Yarrowia lipolytica: one gene and its partner. The protein of the gene in region 1 purifies or fractionates together with the protein of each later gene. This does not show direct contact. Links are inferred from orthologs where the notes say so. Each region holds a gene or a part of one and is shown on either strand. Other genes may lie near its edges. The genes, in order: YALI1_B28292g and YALI1_A00746g.

Evidence for each region.
Region 2: the proteins of YALI1_B28292g (region 1) and YALI1_A00746g purify together in Saccharomyces cerevisiae (affinity purification with mass spectrometry; 3 studies listed by BioGRID). This does not show direct contact. The link is inferred for Yarrowia lipolytica from reciprocal best matches to the Saccharomyces cerevisiae genes SCP160 and ZUO1.

What each region holds. Positions count from the first base shown.
Region 1 is NC_090771.1:2,826,504-2,835,604, forward strand, and holds YALI1_B28292g (uncharacterized protein), read left to right. Parts: upstream 1-2,723; coding exon 2,724-6,404; downstream 6,405-9,101. Other genes in the region: YALI1_B28268g (uncharacterized protein), read right to left, coding at 1-288; YALI1_B28349g (uncharacterized protein), read right to left, coding at 7,315-8,370. UniProt on the Saccharomyces cerevisiae protein: Involved in the control of mitotic chromosome transmission. Required during cell division for faithful partitioning of the ER-nuclear envelope membranes which, in S.cerevisiae, enclose the duplicated chromosomes.
Region 2 is NC_090770.1:70,885-79,334, reverse strand, and holds YALI1_A00746g (uncharacterized protein), read left to right. Parts: upstream 1-4,661; coding exon 4,662-5,951; downstream 5,952-8,450. Other genes in the region: YALI1_A00789g (uncharacterized protein), read left to right, coding at 120-134, 394-3,948; YALI1_A00715g (uncharacterized protein), read left to right, coding at 7,826-8,450. UniProt on the Saccharomyces cerevisiae protein: Component of the ribosome-associated complex (RAC), a heterodimeric chaperone complex involved in regulation of accurate translation termination and in folding or maintaining nascent polypeptides in a folding-competent state.

The DNA of each region.
Region 1 (9,101 bases):
AGAGGTTGTAGGTCGAGCGGGATCGATGCTGGAGGAAGACGTAGTGGGCGGAGACGGACCAGAAACACTGCGTCTAAAAGAGAAACGTTTAGATCCGGTCTTGGACTTGGGAACGGACTCAGATTGAACTCGGTGAACAGCCGGGCGGGTCTTGGACACTCCTAGCTCTGAAACCCCTGCGGTGGTGGATTGGAGACGTGCGGAGGACGATTTGGCACGCTCGGGGGCTCTGGGCCGTTGACGGTCGTCTCGTCTAAAGAGGGCAAAGAGGTTTCGGAAGGCGCCCATGTTGTGGATGGCCGAGAAGAGTGAATGGCTATTGATTCGGCTTGTATATGGTCTGGGAAAACACTCTCCTTTCGGCTAGATAGAGTACTCCTCATGCACGAAATAGGGGTTTGACGCACAAGGAACATGTTGGTTGGAATCTAAAGCGAAGCTGGAAGGGTCACAAATGAATCGTCTGCCGGCGGGCTTTGTTGGTCTACGTCTTCTCCTTTGAGCATGTTTTGTTGTCGATTGTTACCTCCGATCCCATTTCGGTATACCAAAATGACGGCTTCATGATCTGCATGTCCATTAATTACGTTAGCTAAGACTTCCTGTGATAATTGCCATTTAACGGGCTGAACCTGCAACTGTCTCGAAAGGCTTGCAATATCCGCCAGCTAATCTCCAGAAAAAGCACTAAATGTCACCCTGCCCGGATCTGCTGGGGCTCCAACTGTTTAGCTCCACCGTTACCCCTGGTTTTATTTGGTCTCTGAAACTTTAGGCAGCCTTCATCCTGCACCCCGAGACATAATCTTGCTTGTAAGCCCATCCAGTCAATGCCGGAAACAGCACTCTCATGCCATCTGAGCCCGTGTAGCTCGTAGGACAGTAGACGACAGCTCTGTGGGGACCCACGTGTCCGTTGGTTCGATATAGCTGGAAATTGGGCACTTTGACACTTTTGACCACACTCTGGGTCTCACTTACAAAGCAGCCACACCAGTGCACCCAGGTGCCCAGGTACATTCTCGAGGATTGGAATGTACAACTTTGACTCAATCTTAAGGTGAATAATACGATGTGAAAAAATATATCCATGTCCAATCCCACACCACTCCAGATAAGTTCTTGTCCACGTTTCAGGATTTATTATCAGCAGACTATTACGTCACTTTTCGGATTCCCACACTCTCACTACTTGTACAAGTAGCAGCACAAATAAAGAGGTCCTATACGGTCCTGACCTGAATCTGACTCTACTTTCATCCTTTGAGCTAATCTCATGATGATCGATCTGAGCAGAAAAGGAAGAAATATGCCGTGCGCTGAGCGATGATCCGTTTCTAAAAACACGACCGAAGGTGTTTCATGTTTCACAGCGTGCAAATCAAAATAGTAGCCAAAAAAAACTGAGGTTTGCGGGCTCAACAGAAGGTGAGACGAGGTTCTGATACGTAAGTAAATATAATTGGAGTAAGTTGAGACAAATGATTATCATGAAGAGTTTGCTGAAATGATCATACCACGATGAATTTTAAGATGTATTAGCGTCATTTTCTCATCTCACGTTACATAACCATGTCCACTTTTTTGTGACAAACAACGGGTTTCGCTTATATAATCACGGAGATCTGAAAATACATAATCTAACATAACGAGATAAACAAAAACGTTTATCGCATATATTATTACTTTAGGTAAAATTTCGAGTCAAGTTTTTCCCCCTTAGAAAAACTCCGACACATATCGAAGCATTATCCACTCTGAAAAACTCGTCCAAAAATCTGGTCACGTGATTTCGGTGATATTTCAGATCCTATTGATTCAACGCAAAAATTTTATAACCGGCCGTGTGGTCTAGTAGCTATGATTCTCGCTTTGGGTGTGAGAGGTCCAGGGTTCAAATCCCTGCTCGGCCCTTTTTTGGAAAATGACATTACAAAGCTTTTTGCTTCTGCAGATGACGATGTTAGTGCGTTACAGTCATCTTTGCGACGCCAAATTTTTGCCGCGCCAAATCGGACTCATTCCTTCTCAACCATGATTATCACCATCATCGTCGTGAAATGTTGAAATATATATAAGCTCAGAGTTTCTCGGGCATCATGCAACACGAGGGAACAGAAAGTATCGTCAGAATATCGTCGTATATAGTTGTTGCAACTACAATGGAAGTTCTGCTCTGTCATTCACCACTGTTTCTTCTGGTCCGTATGTCGTTGCTCTACTTCTGAGCAACATTCAAGCACTTTTGACAGGTGTTTGGGGCTCTGTGCATTGCATCATGCTGTATTAGGGTAGCCCCCAACCAGTCGTGTCGCTATGCACAACGTGTCACCTCCACAAGACAAGGTTGGCGTCTATTTTTCATCCCCATCAAAAACTCTCTCTACCCCCAAAACCCCGTTTGGAATACAGAACTTGAAGAGTTTTGTTTGTCTGGTCCCCTCCCTGTTTGTTTGTTTGTTTTTGTTGAAGTGAGTATGAATTGAGACCGAGGATCCGAGTGTTGATGCCGCAGAGGTTGCGTTATGGCTAAACAGTGTCTCATTTGATCTGTTTCCATGGAGACCAAAAAGGAGATGCACAAGTGGACACAGTCCTTGTACACTGGAGCATGCCCTGGATAATTCATTGAATCAACTGACATCTGCCGGATCTCATTTATACATGTTACACCAACAGTTATCTGATGTGTGTGCTTGTGCCACACAAGATGCTGTCAAGACATGACGACCCCCACCACCACCCCACTAACACAGATGTCCGACCTGTCCCCCGCTGAGCTTCTCCGGCAACGACATGCTGCCGTGAGCGCTGCCGCCGAGCCCACCCTCACCGTTTCTGAGGGCTCTCTGTCCAAGGAGTCTTCTCCCGTTCCCGAGATTGCCCCTGCCGCCCCCGTGAAGTCTGTCGCCGGTCCCTCCGCCGCCTCCAAGCGAAAGGGTCTCGATATCAACTCTCTCGAGGCTTTCCCCGCTCTTAATGGTGGTGCCGCTGCCCCCAAGGCTGTTTGGGGTAAGGGAGGCTCTGCTCCCGCTGCCCCCTCCCCTCAGTCCTTTGGTCGAGCCGCTTCCACCACTATCTCCGATGTCTTCACTCTCAAGCGAGAGGAGCAGCAGGTTGGTGTGCGATCCGAGCTGCCCAAGATCATTGCTAAGGTCAAGGCCAACACCTCCACTACCATCGACTCGTCCACCTCCAAGATTACGGGCCACACCTCCTTTGTCATCAAGGGTACCCCCGAGAACGTGGCCAAGGCCCGACGTGAGCTGCACCGAGCCCTGTCCCAGAAGATTGTCGCCAAGTTTGAGATCCCCGCTAGCGTGCGAGCTGCTGTGATTGGCCCTCGAGGTTCCAACCTGAAGCCCATTCTTGAGAAGTCCGGTGCCCATATCCAGATTGAGAAGCTCGAGTCCAACGGCAACAACGCCGACGACGACGAGGAGACGGTCGAGGTCATCGTCGAGGGTGACTCTGAGGGTATTGCTATTGCCAAGCAAGAGATCTTTGCCATTGTGTCCGAGCGAGTCAAGAACATGACCATCCGAGTTCGAAACGTCAACTATGTGCTGTTCCCCTTCCTTGACAAGACCGCCGGAGACCTCACCAAGGGCGAGGACGACGTCAAGCTCAGCATCCCTGATATCTTTGCTCCCAACTTCACCACGGCCGCCACCATCACTCTGTCTGGCGACCGAGAGGCCACCGCTACCGTCAAGGAACGACTTGAGCGTCTTGCAGAGTCTCTGTCCACCGACCTTATCACCTCCACCGAGTCCTTCCCTGCTTCCAAGCACAAGTACATTTCTGCCAAGGATGTCTTTGCCGCCACCTCCGTGTTTATCACTGTGCCCCAGGCCCCCAACACCTCCGATGACACCGTCAAGTTCCTGGGTCTGCCCAAGGACATCAAGCCCGCCATGAACAAGGTGTCTGAGCAGGTTAACTCCGTCAAGATTGATCTTTTGGACATTTCTCGAGCACATGGCAAGAGCGTGCCCCATGCCCAGGCTTTGGCTTCTTACTTCAAGGCCTCTGGTATGCTCCAGAAGATTGCTGACGAGTACAAGGTCGAAATCTACATCCAGCAGCCCGATCAGCTCTACGCTCCTGGCGCCCAGGCCGTCACTATCGAGACCTCTGGTCCCAACGAGGAGGCTGTCAAGGCTGCCCGAAAGGCCATTGTGGCTCTGGTAAACAAGTACGAGCCCTCCAAGGTCTCTCGAGTGTCTGACATTGATCCTTTTTTCCTGCGAAACCTCGCTGGCCCCAAGGACCGAAACCTGGCCAAGTACAAGAAGGACCACGGAGTCACTGTCCTGGTGCCCGAGAACCCCAAGGTTAACGGTGACGTGATTCTCATCTACGAGGGCACCTCTGAGGAGGATGATTTCGGCCCCTCCGCCGACGAGATCAAGGCCACCTTTGCTGCTGTCGACTCTTCCTTTGCCGATATTCGAGAGAAGCAGGCCAAGATCATTGGCAAGCTAATTTCCGTCCCCGTTGGCGAACACAAGTTTGTCCGAGGTCCCGATAACACTACCCTTCGAGCCATTGTTGGCGGAACCGAGGGCCACGAGCCCTTTGTCCGAGTCACCTTTGGTGACGAGATCAAGGACGCTGAGGAGCCCGTTTCTGCGGACTCCATCTACGTGCGGGGTCTCAAGGATGAGGTCACCCGAGTGCTCAAGGAGATCGAGGAGGCAGTGGAGGACGGCAAGAACTATGCTGTTCTGTCCCAGTACACCACCGAATTCCAGATCCCTCCCGAGCATGTCAAGCATGTTGTTGGCAAGGGCGGCTCCCAGCTCGCCAAGTTCCGTGAGTACGGCGTCAACATCGATCTCGACGAGTCCGGTCAGGGTGTTGTCAAGGGTATCAAGAAGAACGCCGACGAGGCCAAGGTTCAGATTCTGGCTTTCGCCAAGAAGATTGCCGACGAGGTCAACGTCAAGCTTCCTGTGCCTGCTGACCACCACGCCTCTCTGATTGGAACTGGTGGCAAGTTTGTCAAGCGACTGGAGGAGAAGTATGACGTTCGAATTCGGTTCCCCAAGACCGGTGAGGAGAACGCCAACGAGATCGTCCTTCGAGGTCCCTCCAAGGGTGTGGCGAAGGCCAAGGAGGAGATTTTGGATCTCGTAAACTACGAGATTGAGAACTCGCACTCGCAGACCATTTCCGTCCCCGTCAAGTCTCTGCCCCGAATCATTGGTCGAGGCGGAGAGTTCATCAACGACATCAAGGACTCCACCAACACTCGAATCGACGTCAAGCAGGAGAAGTCGGATAACACCGACGAGACCGGCAACGTTGACATTGAAATTGTTGGTACAAAGGCCGGCGTCAAGGAGGCTGCTGCCAAGATCCAGGCTATCGTTTCTGAGTTCCAGGACACTGTCATTGAGCACATTGAGGTGAACCCCAAGTTCCACGGTGCTCTGATCGGTCCCGGCGGTCAGACTCTCAAAGACATCCTCACCAAGGCCGGTATGACCGACGTGACCCCCTCCGTTGCTGCTCGAACCGTTGCTGTTCCTGCTGCCGGCACCAAGGATAACAAGGTGCGAGTCCAGGGCTCCAAGAAGATTGTGGCCAAGATTGTCAAAATCATCCAGGACATGGTTGCCGAGCGGGAGTCCCAGATCTCTGAGGTTGTTGATGTGCCCGTTTCCAAGCACCGAGATCTCATTGGAGCTGGAGGTGCTGCCAAGCGATCCCTCGAGGAGAAGTTCAAGGTTACTCTGCAGATCCCCAAGCAGGGCGCCAAGAACAAGGATGGAGAGCTCGACACCGGCGTCTCCATCACCGGTAAGGCTGAGGATGTCGCTACCGCCAAGGCCAAGATCCAGGAGCTGTCCCAGGACAAGTGGAAGGAGGAAATTCTGGTCCCCCGAACCTTGCACACCACTGTGTCCGACAACGGAAACCTGCCCCGAAAGCTCAAGTACGAACTCAAGGTTAACGTTGACCACGGCTCTGTCCGAACTCCTCGAGACGGCAACCCCGTTGTCCCCGCTGGTGCCATTGGCTCCGATTCTGAGGACAAGGACTCGTTCCGATGGTCTGTTGTCGAGGACGCTGTCGACCACGCTGCCAACGGCACCATCCCCTGGAGGCTTGAGGGCTCTGACGAGAACGTTGCCAAGGCTAAGGCCATCATTGAGGCTGCTCTGGATGTTGCTCTCAAGCACACTCAGACCGGATACCTGTGGCTCCCTGACACCTCTCGATACCGATTCCTGGTGGGTCCTCATGGAGCCACCGTGTCTCACATCCGAGAGAAGTCTGGCTGCAAGATCTACATCCCCAAGGCTGGTGTTGCTGACTCTGCCGTGACCGTGCGGGGCTCCCCCGAGGGTCTGGAGAAGGCCAAGGAGATGATGCTTGCTGCTCTCAAGAAGTAAGCTTGTGTTTGTTTCAGGGATGCAAAAAATGTACTGCGGGTACGATTCGGTAGTATTTAGTATTTAGTATTTATATCATTTGAGATTGTATGTTGTGGTGCGCACACAGGTCGTCTGTTGTGCGTATCGTAGTGTGTGTTGGGATATTTGAAGTGTTCTCCAGGCCCACAGTGGTTCGACTATGGCCGCCGGAGCCCTTATAATACTCAATTCTGTAACCCTTCTGATATAGGAGCTCCATCTTTAGTGCGCCTTTCAAGTGAAACATTTGGGTAGATAGAACCATTCATACAAGCATCATCGAATTCAGTAAATGTAAGCTTTGTCGCCAGTAACTTGTTGGTCATCCATCAGCAAACCAGCTGTCGCCGCTGTGCCGGGTCACCTGAGTTTGATTATGATGTTCGCTTGTCTGAGAGAGCCCCATGTTCCAAATATGCTGGTCGTGTATACATAAAACTATTTTTTTACAGCACAAGTACCGGTCCGGTACTTGTAGTCAGTTACTCAAGAAAAAATCATCTCATCTCGTATATGCTCGTATTTAATTTAGCTTCCGGGTTGTCGTAATATGTAATCCTATTTTTAAATTACGTCAGCAATGTTAATCTGGAGAAGCCATGTTATTAACAATGTTTAGAGATAAATTTAGGTCTATATTCTCATATAGTTTTACCTAACTAACTGTTTATCATGCTTGTGAGCCACAATCCGCATTCAAAACCTCATCTCACGTGACCTGTTTTCCCCGCGCATTATCGTCTCGTGCAGGTGCATATGGGTAAACTACTGTGTCTTACAATTGTACTTTCTACACAATGCATGTTTATGCGTTTAGCTCTACTTGTACTTACTTAGCTACTGGAAACTGTAGCTCCCCCTCCCCCTATCTATGTTAGTTGTTACCATTTTAAAACTTGCCCTTCTGCTCAGGAACAATGGAGATAACCTTTCCAGTATCAACAAAGCTCTCGAGGTTGTCCAGAACCGCCTTCTCCATCTTGAAATGGGTCTCGTGGGACCAGGTTCCCATATGAGGCAGAAGCAGGGTTCTAGGGTGTTTCAAAAGACCTTCTTCAATGGCAGGCTCTCGCTCGAATACATCGAGACCGACTCCTCCAATCTTTCCAGAGTTTAGACCGTCCACTAGGGCCTTCTCGTCGCAAACAGGGCCTCGAGCGGTGTTGACAATGATGACTCCGTCCTTCATTTTGGAGATGGACTCTGCGTTGACGAGGTGCTTGGTAGCAGCATTAAGAGGCACGTTGATGGAAATGACATCGGCCTTGGAAAATAGATCTTCAGGCGACTGGCAGTAGACAGAGTCCTTTTCCAGCTCGGGGGCCAGGCGATTTCGGTTGTAGTACAGCACCTTGCTGAAACCCAGAGGAGCCACGTAGTCTCTGATTTCTCGGCCGATTCCGCCCATACCGAGAATTCCGAGAGTCTTGCCGGAGATGTCGTTGCCCAGGGCCACTCCCTTGAGCCATTGGCCCTTTTGCAAGTTGAGAGCTCCGTCTCCGAAGTTTCGCAGGGTGCCGATCATTAGATACAGGTTCGTGAGAGCAGTCGACTCGTCGGCCATGGACTGCACGTTGCTGACCTGAATGCCTCTTTCGGAGAAGAAGGGCACATCGATCTGGTCATAGCCTGCTCCGTAATGGCAGACAGCTTTGCAGGACTCAGGAAGAGCCTTGGCCAGCTCCTCGTCGAACCGGCCGGTCTTTTTGACACTGATGAAGGTTCGGAAGATGGCATTGATGTCCTTGTAGGTGTTTTTGAGGTCCTTGAGAAACGATTCTCGGTCAGTTCCATCCTTGAGAGTCACCACGTCGGCCTTCTTCTTGAGCTTTTCAAACTCGTCTTTGGCGTCCACCACGTTGTCAAGGAACAGGATCTTCTGTCTTTGGGTCGAGTACAATCGGGCGAGCGACTGTCGCGCAAACTGTGGTCGGATACGGAGCATTGTGTGTTGCAATTGAGTGTGTTGTTGGATGCGTACTGTACTATTAGTCTGGGGTTAGCTCCTTGGGTACTTCCTCCTTTAGGTTGACCCCCACGCTAAGCGGAGCACCCCCACAAGGTCATTGGGACTTTTGAGGGCTCTATCCTCAGGCTTTTATTGGTGGCCCACATGAGTCAAAGTCTGACTCAATAGCACGCCCACACACGCACTTGTGCGGTTACAATTGACAGTTGCAGGTTTTGTACGAGACGGGGTACCACTCCTTACAGTTACACACAGGGCATGTAACTCGAAGAAAGAAGACGTATAACCACGTATAAATGCGCAATAGTGCAGTCTGAAAGAGACATGTATGGGAGCAAAGGTTCGCCACGAGGTGAGCTACTTGTACCAATGCCAGGCTATCATCTAGCCTCCTTTGCATCTGCTGTAGCTGCTATAATAGCCCTTCATCATATAAGGGTCATATCTGTTTGGCGCTGAATAATTAGATCCCACCGCCAGCCTGCTTGAACTTGCCTCAGACGTTGTTTTTTTTCCGCCACCTTAGTAATTCATGCAGATGAGATGTGTTCCAAGGCGGACTTATCTGGAGAGCTCCCATGAGAACTGTAAAAATCTAAAGATATATATCTGTTTAAAATTATTTATTCAATTGATTTCCGAAAACTCCGGCTGGAAATGCCTATTCTCCGTCCCTCTAGCTCCTCCCCTCCCTCCTGCTGCCCTGT
Region 2 (8,450 bases), on another chromosome or scaffold:
TCCCACCTCACCCAAACACGCGCATAAGGTTTGTGGAATTAATTACTCTACTCCCAATTGTGTGTAAAAATCCAGACGCGTCTCTCGTCACACTCACTCACACCACTGGACACCACGACATGTATATTAAACAGGTGAGTATTGTGGAAGGGCGGGCGGTCACGTGATGATGAGACTGAGGGGGATGGGATGGTATTCAGCTGATCACGTGATTCAACCGAGGGGGTCGTGCGATGGGCCGAAATTTGCGGCTCAGACGATGCTCAGACGCTGAAACGACACAGAAAAGATGTATAACAGACAGCAGACAACGAAACTACTGTGACCAGATCGCCGACCGCTGTCTTTCTGCTCAAATTTCGCGCTCGCCACTTGGTGCCGATACTAACCTAGATTCGAATCCAAGGATTCAAGTCGTACAAAAACCTGGTCGAGATCGACCCGTTCTCGCCACGGTTCAACGTGGTGGTTGGCCGAAACGGTTCCGGTAAGTCCAACTTCTTTGCCGCGGTCCGGTTCGTTCTCTCCGACGCCTACAACCACCTCAACAAGGAGGAGCGGGCTGCTCTCATTCACGAGGGCTCCGGCATGTCTGGCACGACAATGAGTGCGTTCGTGGAGATCATCTTCGATAACAGTGATCGTCGACTGCCCACCGGAGGAGAAACCGTCACCATTCGACGGACAATTGGCTCCAAGAAGGACGAGTACTCGCTCGACAAGAAGTCCAGCACACGGTCTGAGATTATGAACCTGCTGGAGTCTGCGGGCTTCTCGCGGGCCAATCCCTACTACATTGTGCCTCAGGGACGAATCACAGCGCTCACCAACGCGAAAAACGAGACGCGATTGGCGCTGCTCAAGGAGGTGGCTGGTACTAAGGTCTACGAGCAGCGGCGATCCGAGTCGGAGAAGCTCATGATTGAGAACGAAAACAAGATTCTCAAGATCAACAGCGCACTGGACGACATCAACACGCGGCTGTCCGACCTGGAGGAGGAGAAGCAGGAGCTAAACGAATTTCTGCAGCTGGACAAGCGGCGGAAGTGCCTGGACTTTGCGCTGCAGGACCGCGAGCTCAAGGCAGTGGAGACTGCGCTGGTGGAGCTGCAGGACATGGACGACGGCGGCGCTTCCGACCGAGCTGCTCGACTTGCTAAGATCGAGGAGCAGGACTTGGTCATTTCCGAAGTAGAGGCTGAGATTGAGACTTCCAGCCGGGCACGTGAGCACGCAGATCTGGCTGCATCCCATGCACGTGACGACGTTGCTCAGCTCCGTCGACTCAAGGCGTCCCTCGAGGTGGAGCTCGCTGAAACCAACCGAATCCATGGTACGCTACAGCACGAGGAGCTGTCACGTGAGCAGCAGTTGCAGCGGGTGCAAGGCGAGATTGAATCCAAGGAGAGCTCGCTGAGGGCGACCGTGAGCGAGCGGGATGCTCTCAAAAGTCAGCTTGAGGCTGCCAATCGAGCTCTGCGAGAAGCCTCGGCAACCAAGGACTCACTGCTCTCCCGAGAAGGCCGATCTGCACAGTTCACATCCAAGGCTGCTCGGGACAAGTGGCTGCAACGACAGATTGCAGAGATCTCCGAGTTTTTGGAGAGTCGAAAGCAGGCCCTGGCAAAGGGCAAGCGAAGTGTGGAAGAGTGCGAGCGTGAAATCACTGCCAAGGATGCTGCGATTGTGGAGCAGCGACAAGCGTTTGCTGACTGCGAATCGCGGTACTCTGAGCTCAAGCGAAGCCACGCGGCCTCCCAACAGGCCCGAGAGGGCATTGCTGATGAGAAGAAGGCTTTGTGGCGCCAGGAGTCGTATCTTCTCAAGGATAGCGACCAGCTGGAGCAGCAGGTCGAGAAGGCGCAGCGAGCATTTGCTTCTACCATGGACAGAAACACCTCCCTTGGTTTGGCTAACCTGAAACGAGTGGCCCAGAAGCTGGGACTGGAGGACCAGGTCTATGGTCCCTTGTGCGAGTTGATCAAGCTGGATGACAAGTACAAGCGAGCTGTTGAGGTGACTGCTGGCAATTCGCTTTTCCATGTGGTTGTCGAGGATGACGATGTTGCTTCCAAGGTGATTGAGCAGCTTTTGCGTGAAAAGTGCGGTCGTCTGACGTTCATGCCTCTCAACCGGCTCAACCCCGAGCGAAGAAAGTACCCCGAGGCCGAAAACGTATTCCCACTGGTCGACAAGATTTCTTGTAACCCAGAGTACGAGCCTGCGGTGCAGCAAGTTTTTGGCAAGACCATTGTGTGCATCAATCTGCAGGTGGGTGCTGCTGTTCAGCGAAACCACAACCTCAACGCCATCACTTTGGGTGGAGATCGAGTGGATGCCAAGGGTGTGCTTACTGGTGGTTTCCACGACCCCAAGAAAAGCCGATTGGACGCTGCTCGAGACGTGCAGGAGGCCCAGGAGGAGCTGAGTCAGATCCGTGTGCAGATCAACGCCATCAAGAACAGCGTTGATGAGGTGGAGCACCGGCTGTCTGAATGCCACACGGAGCAGAACAAACTGCTGATGGAAATGCAGCAGATTGAAGAGACCCGGCAGCGGGCCTCTGAGTCCATCAAGGCCGAGACCGCGGCCATCACAACCCTCAAGGGTCTTATTGAGAAGAAGCGGGACAACTCCGAGACGCTGCTTCGAGACATCTCGTCGATGGAGTCGCAGCTGGAGTCGTATAACTCGGAGTTGGTGTCCGAGTTCAGCTCGCAGTTGTCTTCTGCTCAGCAGCAAGAGCTCGAGCGGGTCTGCGAGACTCTTCCTGGCCTGTCTGCCTCGGTCGCCGAGCTTCAACAGAAGGTGTCTGCTCTGGAAATGACCCGTCTGAGTCTCGAGAACGAGCTACAGCAGAACTTGTACCTGTCTCGAGACGACATGGAGCTGCAACACAACGGCGACTTTGATGCTGCCGAGCTGGCCGAGAAGGCTGCCACGCTTACCCGCAAGCTTGCTCAGATGGAGGAGCAGTTGTCGGAGGCTGCCAGCAAGCAATTGTCGACTGAGAAAGCACTGGAGACCGCGGAGCAGCAGGTGGCAAACGACGAGGCTCACCTCGCCGAGCTCAAGGATGAGCAGGCCCAGAGTCTGCGAAAGCTGTCCAAGTTTGCAAAGGCTGCCGAGCGAGTTGCAGCCAAGCGACAGGCCCTTGAACAGCGACGAGAGCATGTGCAGGCCAAGATTCGAGAGATTGGTATTCTGCCCGACGATGCTTTCCTCGATGTGTCTGCCCAGAGCGACGGCGACATGATGCAGGAGTTCAGAGAGGTGTCTGACGAGCTCAAGAAGTTTGGCCACGTCAATCGGAAAGCTCTGGAGCAATTTGCGACGTTTAGCAAGGACCGAGATCGACTTCTTTCACGTCGACAGAACCTCATGGAGTCTGCAGAGTCCATTGAGGAGCTAATTTCCACTCTTAACGACCAGAAGGACCGAGCAATCAAGCGAACGTTCCAGCAAGTGTCCAAGGAATTCTCCGAGGTGTTCCAACAGCTTGTGCCTCGAGGAAAGGGTCAGCTGGTGATCGAGCGACGGGCTCTGGACGACCAGAACCCTGACTCGTACACTGGAGTGGCGATCAACGTGTCGTTCAACTCGACGGAGAACGAGCAGCAGCGAGTGGAGCAGCTGTCGGGAGGTCAAAAGTCGCTGTGTGCGTTGGCGCTCATTTTCGCCATCCAGCGGTCCGATCCTGCCCCCTTTTACCTGTTTGACGAGATTGACGCTAATCTTGACGATCAGTATCGAACTGCTGTGGCGCAGGTGATTTCCCAGATTGCCAACGCTCCTCAGCCTACACAGTTCATTTGCACCACGTTCCGAAATGAGATGATTCACGTGGCTGACAAGTTTTACGGAGTCTTATTCAACAACAAGATTTCTACGGTGAAGAGTATTACTCGGGAGGATGCGCTGACGTTTGTTGATGGACAGAAGGCCTAGATGACGAGTGCTAAGCGAGTAACGGGCGAAGCGAATGGCGCGCGCAGCTAGTGGTGAAGTCTGAACTCAGTGGTTTGGCCTGCACATTAAGCAGGACTGGTCCAAGGGGACCTACTTATGAAAAGAATGGGTTTTGTATATGTTTATGGTAATTATTATTTAAGTGATAAGAGAGTGCGTATAGGAGAGAACAAGTATCAAGATCACCAAACGGCCCAGGGGCTCACTCTGATTCGAATCATATCAGTAAATATCCGTTCTACTTATAGAGGTATTGTTTCTACTGTATTGTACCTTGGATTGAAAGTGAAACGCCCCCTAGCGTATCTCTCAACTGGACTGTAGGATGTCTCCAATGTGAAGTTTGTGAGAAGTAGCATGACATATTCAAGTCTGTCGGATATTTTTTTCAGGACTGTATTGGTAGTGTGAGTTAGGGTGCAGTCTGGGAGTGTGGGGGAAGGCATTCAAAGTAGCCAGAAACGATCATGTGACGTGAAATGGCACGTAGAACGGCAAAAAATGAATGAGTAAGTCACAATAGCCCAAAAAGAGCTCCTAATCTGACTACACAACGACATACTAGTCTCACTTCTCTACAGCAGCAGTTTTCAGGCCCCGTTGCTTAATAAGATTGAAAAAACCTTAATCTGACATTTTGGTAAAACTTTTACCCTTACCAACTCTCTCCTTCACACCAGCACAACAACACCATGTCTCTGCCTACTCTTCCTTCCGGATGGGCTTCTGCCAACTCCGAGGGCTTTGTTGCCCACTCCGCCTTCACCTCTCCTGTCAAGCGACAGATTGAGCCCGTTGGACCCGGGTTCCTGGCCCATGCGCGACGAACTCTGCGAGGCCGAACTTGGTCTGAGGACGAGAAGGAGGAGGCCGCCAAGAACGTCAAGCAGGTCGAGGGCGAGGATGAGGACGCCGATCTCGGCGACGAGCCTGAAGACATTGAGGATCTCGAGCGAGAGGCCAAGGACTGGAAGTCTCAGGACCATTACAGAGTTCTGGGTATCTCTCACCTTCGACACCGAGCTACTGAGGACCAGATCCGACGGGCCCACCGAAAGCGAGTGCTCAAGCATCACCCCGATAAGAAGGCCGCCTCCGGCTCCAAGCTCGACGAGGACGACTTCTTCAAGTGTATCCAGAAGGCGTTTGAGGTTCTGATGGACTCCAACCGACGACGACAGTACGACTCCGTCGACGAGGCTGCCAATGTGGAGCAGCCCACCAAGAAGGAGACCACCGCCGAGAACTTCATCGAGCTGTGGGGTCCCTTCTTCGACTCCGAGATCCGATTCTCCAAGACCCAGCCCTGTCCTTCTCTTGGTACCATGGAGTCTTCCAAGGCCGAGGTGGAGGGCTTCTACGCCGCCATGTACTCCTTCGACTCGTGGAGAACCTTTGAGTACCTCGACGAGGATGTTCCCGATGACTCTTCCAACCGAGACCACAAGCGATACATTGAGAAGAAGAACAAGGCCCAGCGACAGAAGCACAAGACCGAGGACACTGCCCGATTCCGAGAGGCCGTTGACCTTGCTCTGTCCCTCGATCCCCGAATCAAGATGTTCAAGGAGGCCGACAAGAAGGCCAAGGAGGCCAAGAAGTGGGAGAAGGAGGCCGGTGCCCGAGAGGCCGCTGCTAAGGCCGCAAAGGAGGCCGAGGAGGCTGCTGCCAAGGCCAAGAAGGAGGCTGAGGAGGCTGCCGCCAACAAGGAGAACGCCAAGAAGTCCAAGGAGGCTGCCAAGTCCGCCAAGAAGAAGAACAAGCGAGCTGTGCGAAACGCCGCCAAGGACAACGGCTACTTCGGCGACGAGGCCAAGTCTGCCGATATTGACATCGATCTCGATGCTCTGCTCAACCGAATTGACGACCTTGCTCTCGGTGATCTTGCTGCTGCTCTTGACGGTGCTGATGCCGCCAAGGCCAAGGCTACCATCACTGAGGCCGCCGCTAAGGCCGGAGGTGACTATGCCTACTTCTCTTAGGTAGTTCTGACCTAGGGCAGGATCCACCCCGCCTAATCTATAGTTCATACAAGTAGAATAGATCTAGAGTACTGTCACTGACTTGGATACATGTGTAAAGCACAAACAGATGTAGATGATCGACCAAAGGGACTTTATGGGAGGATCTCAGACTGGTCAAGTGCTGTTGTGTCAAACCAGGGGTGTAGGTGTTGAGTATCAGTACAAGAAATGTGGATGCACGTGTGATGCTTATACTGGATACTCAGGACGGACCAATTGAGATCTTTACGGGCTTGTTTGAGTCTTTGTGACCACCTACCGGTCCTACTTCTTGGATGTGACTGCGGTTTAGCAGGTCCATCATTCTATTGGTCTCCACTCTGACATGCAACCGCTGCTGGAAGATCTACAAGAAGGGCACTTTAGATAGATACGTGGAGTTCAGATACGTGGAGTTCAGAGACGGGGAGTTCAGAGACGGGGAGTTGAGAACGTGGAGGATATTCAGAGACTGTTATGTTTCTACCCACTAATACGGCTATTCATGGCAAGCACCTGTGAGCGCTGGACTGATCTAAAGAATGTCAAGTACATCCGGTACATTAGCATAAGCATGTGTCAAAGGGGGTTCTTGATGACATTGGGTGTACAAAGTGGCAGTGTATCTTTTAGTTCAATCTCTGCGTGGCGTGACAGCGTATCCTTTAGTGCCATCTCTGGATGGTGTGACTACATGTGTTGCAAGGACAGTACGTTGTTTGTTATCAGTACTTAGCTGGCTCAACTGTTTTAATGGGAGATCAGTTCACCCTTAACGCACAGTTCTAACTATAAGAAGAGTTCACAACTAATACCAAGTATTTAATCGTTTGAAGAAACTGTACCGTACGTTCCATCAGATCTTCCACAGGAAAATCGAGTTGCAAGACTGATAAGATGATCAGCTAGTACTTTTTATTGGCAATATGTCATCTATCGATTTATTCTATCATATAGTTGTACAAGTACAGGTTTCGATCCATCGACGATACAGTGGACATTCTTCTCCACTAACCGCACCCTACGACTCTCCAAAGCGGCTGAAAGAATGCAAAGAATGCCAGTCGACCTGAGAGATGACATCCAGGGGGGCACGGGAACCTCGGAATGCTGAGAAGCGGAACTTTTAGCGCCATAAAAAGGTTTACCGCCCAGTATTTCGGCCCAATGCGGTCTTCTGGAGTTTCGAGAAGACATTTCGTGACACCGAGCGTTGCAACACCCCCCTTTCCAGACACAGAGCACCAGCTTAGGTTACACAGCACCGCCTCTTCTTCTTTGTGGCCTTGTGTCTGCCTTTACCAAGCAGAAATCCCCACATCTCTCACCCCAACCCCACCGCCACATGGTTAGTCCGACGTCTATACCCATAATCAGATACCCGCATATCCGATACAGTAGGCGGAAAGCCTCTTGCCTTGTTTTGGAACCCCCCTGATGAATGTGGGCGAGCTGTCAGCACGTCGAAACATTGGTTGTGCGACGCGTCTTCATTACGGGAGATGTTGATCAGCGTGCTTTGTTCGAGATGATTTTGATAAATGAGATCTGGTCAATGTGATCTTGTCCGATATGATATCGATCATCTATAGATATATGCACGGCAAGACTGATGGCTCATCGCCATTGTGCAGCCGCCAAACAATAGCACACGGCGGAACACACAATAGACCCGTGCTAAAATCAACAAAACCCGACTCAACTAAATAGCACAATTCTGGGCTAGCTTGGAAGGAGAAACACGGACACAAACTCATCATGTTATACACAAACATGTTACATAAACCCCCAACTTGCCTGTCCTCAATCCCCAGTCACTCTTTCACTCGCTCTCCATTCACTCGCTCGCTAACATGAAGCTGTCTCTTATTCCCCTCACTCTCGTCTCAGCTGTCTTGGCTCAGAACACAACTGACATCATCTCCGACCCTCCTGGTGCCTCTACTACCATCGATAGCTCCACTGAGTCTCCTGGTGCCTCTACTCCTGTCGAACTCCTCGAGAGCTCCACCCTGCCTACCAGTTCCACCGTTGACTCCACCCCCGTTGCCTCTGTCGTGAGCTCCACCCAGTCTCCTAGTGCCACTGTCGACTCCACCCCCGTCGACGCTAGCACCCCTGCTCCTACTCCTACTTCTACCACCACTCCCTCTCCTCCTACAGCCGAGGAGCTCTCGCAGCTCGATGCCACCATTGCTGGTCTTCAGGACACTCTGGATACACTCCTTGCCGAAGTTTCCGACTCCCCTGAGCTTCAGCAGCTTGTGGCTGACGTCTCCGCTTCTCTTGACAGTGTCATGAGCCGTCTAGCTGAGCTGCAGGCCACAACTGCTGCCAAGAGACACATTATGATGTGGATTGCCAAGAGAGATACCGCCTCTGACCTCATCGACGATGTCGTGACTCTTCTGGACCAGCTGCGAGCTGTTGTTGCCATTATTGAGCCCATCGAGAACAAGTCTGATGCTCTTCAGGCCA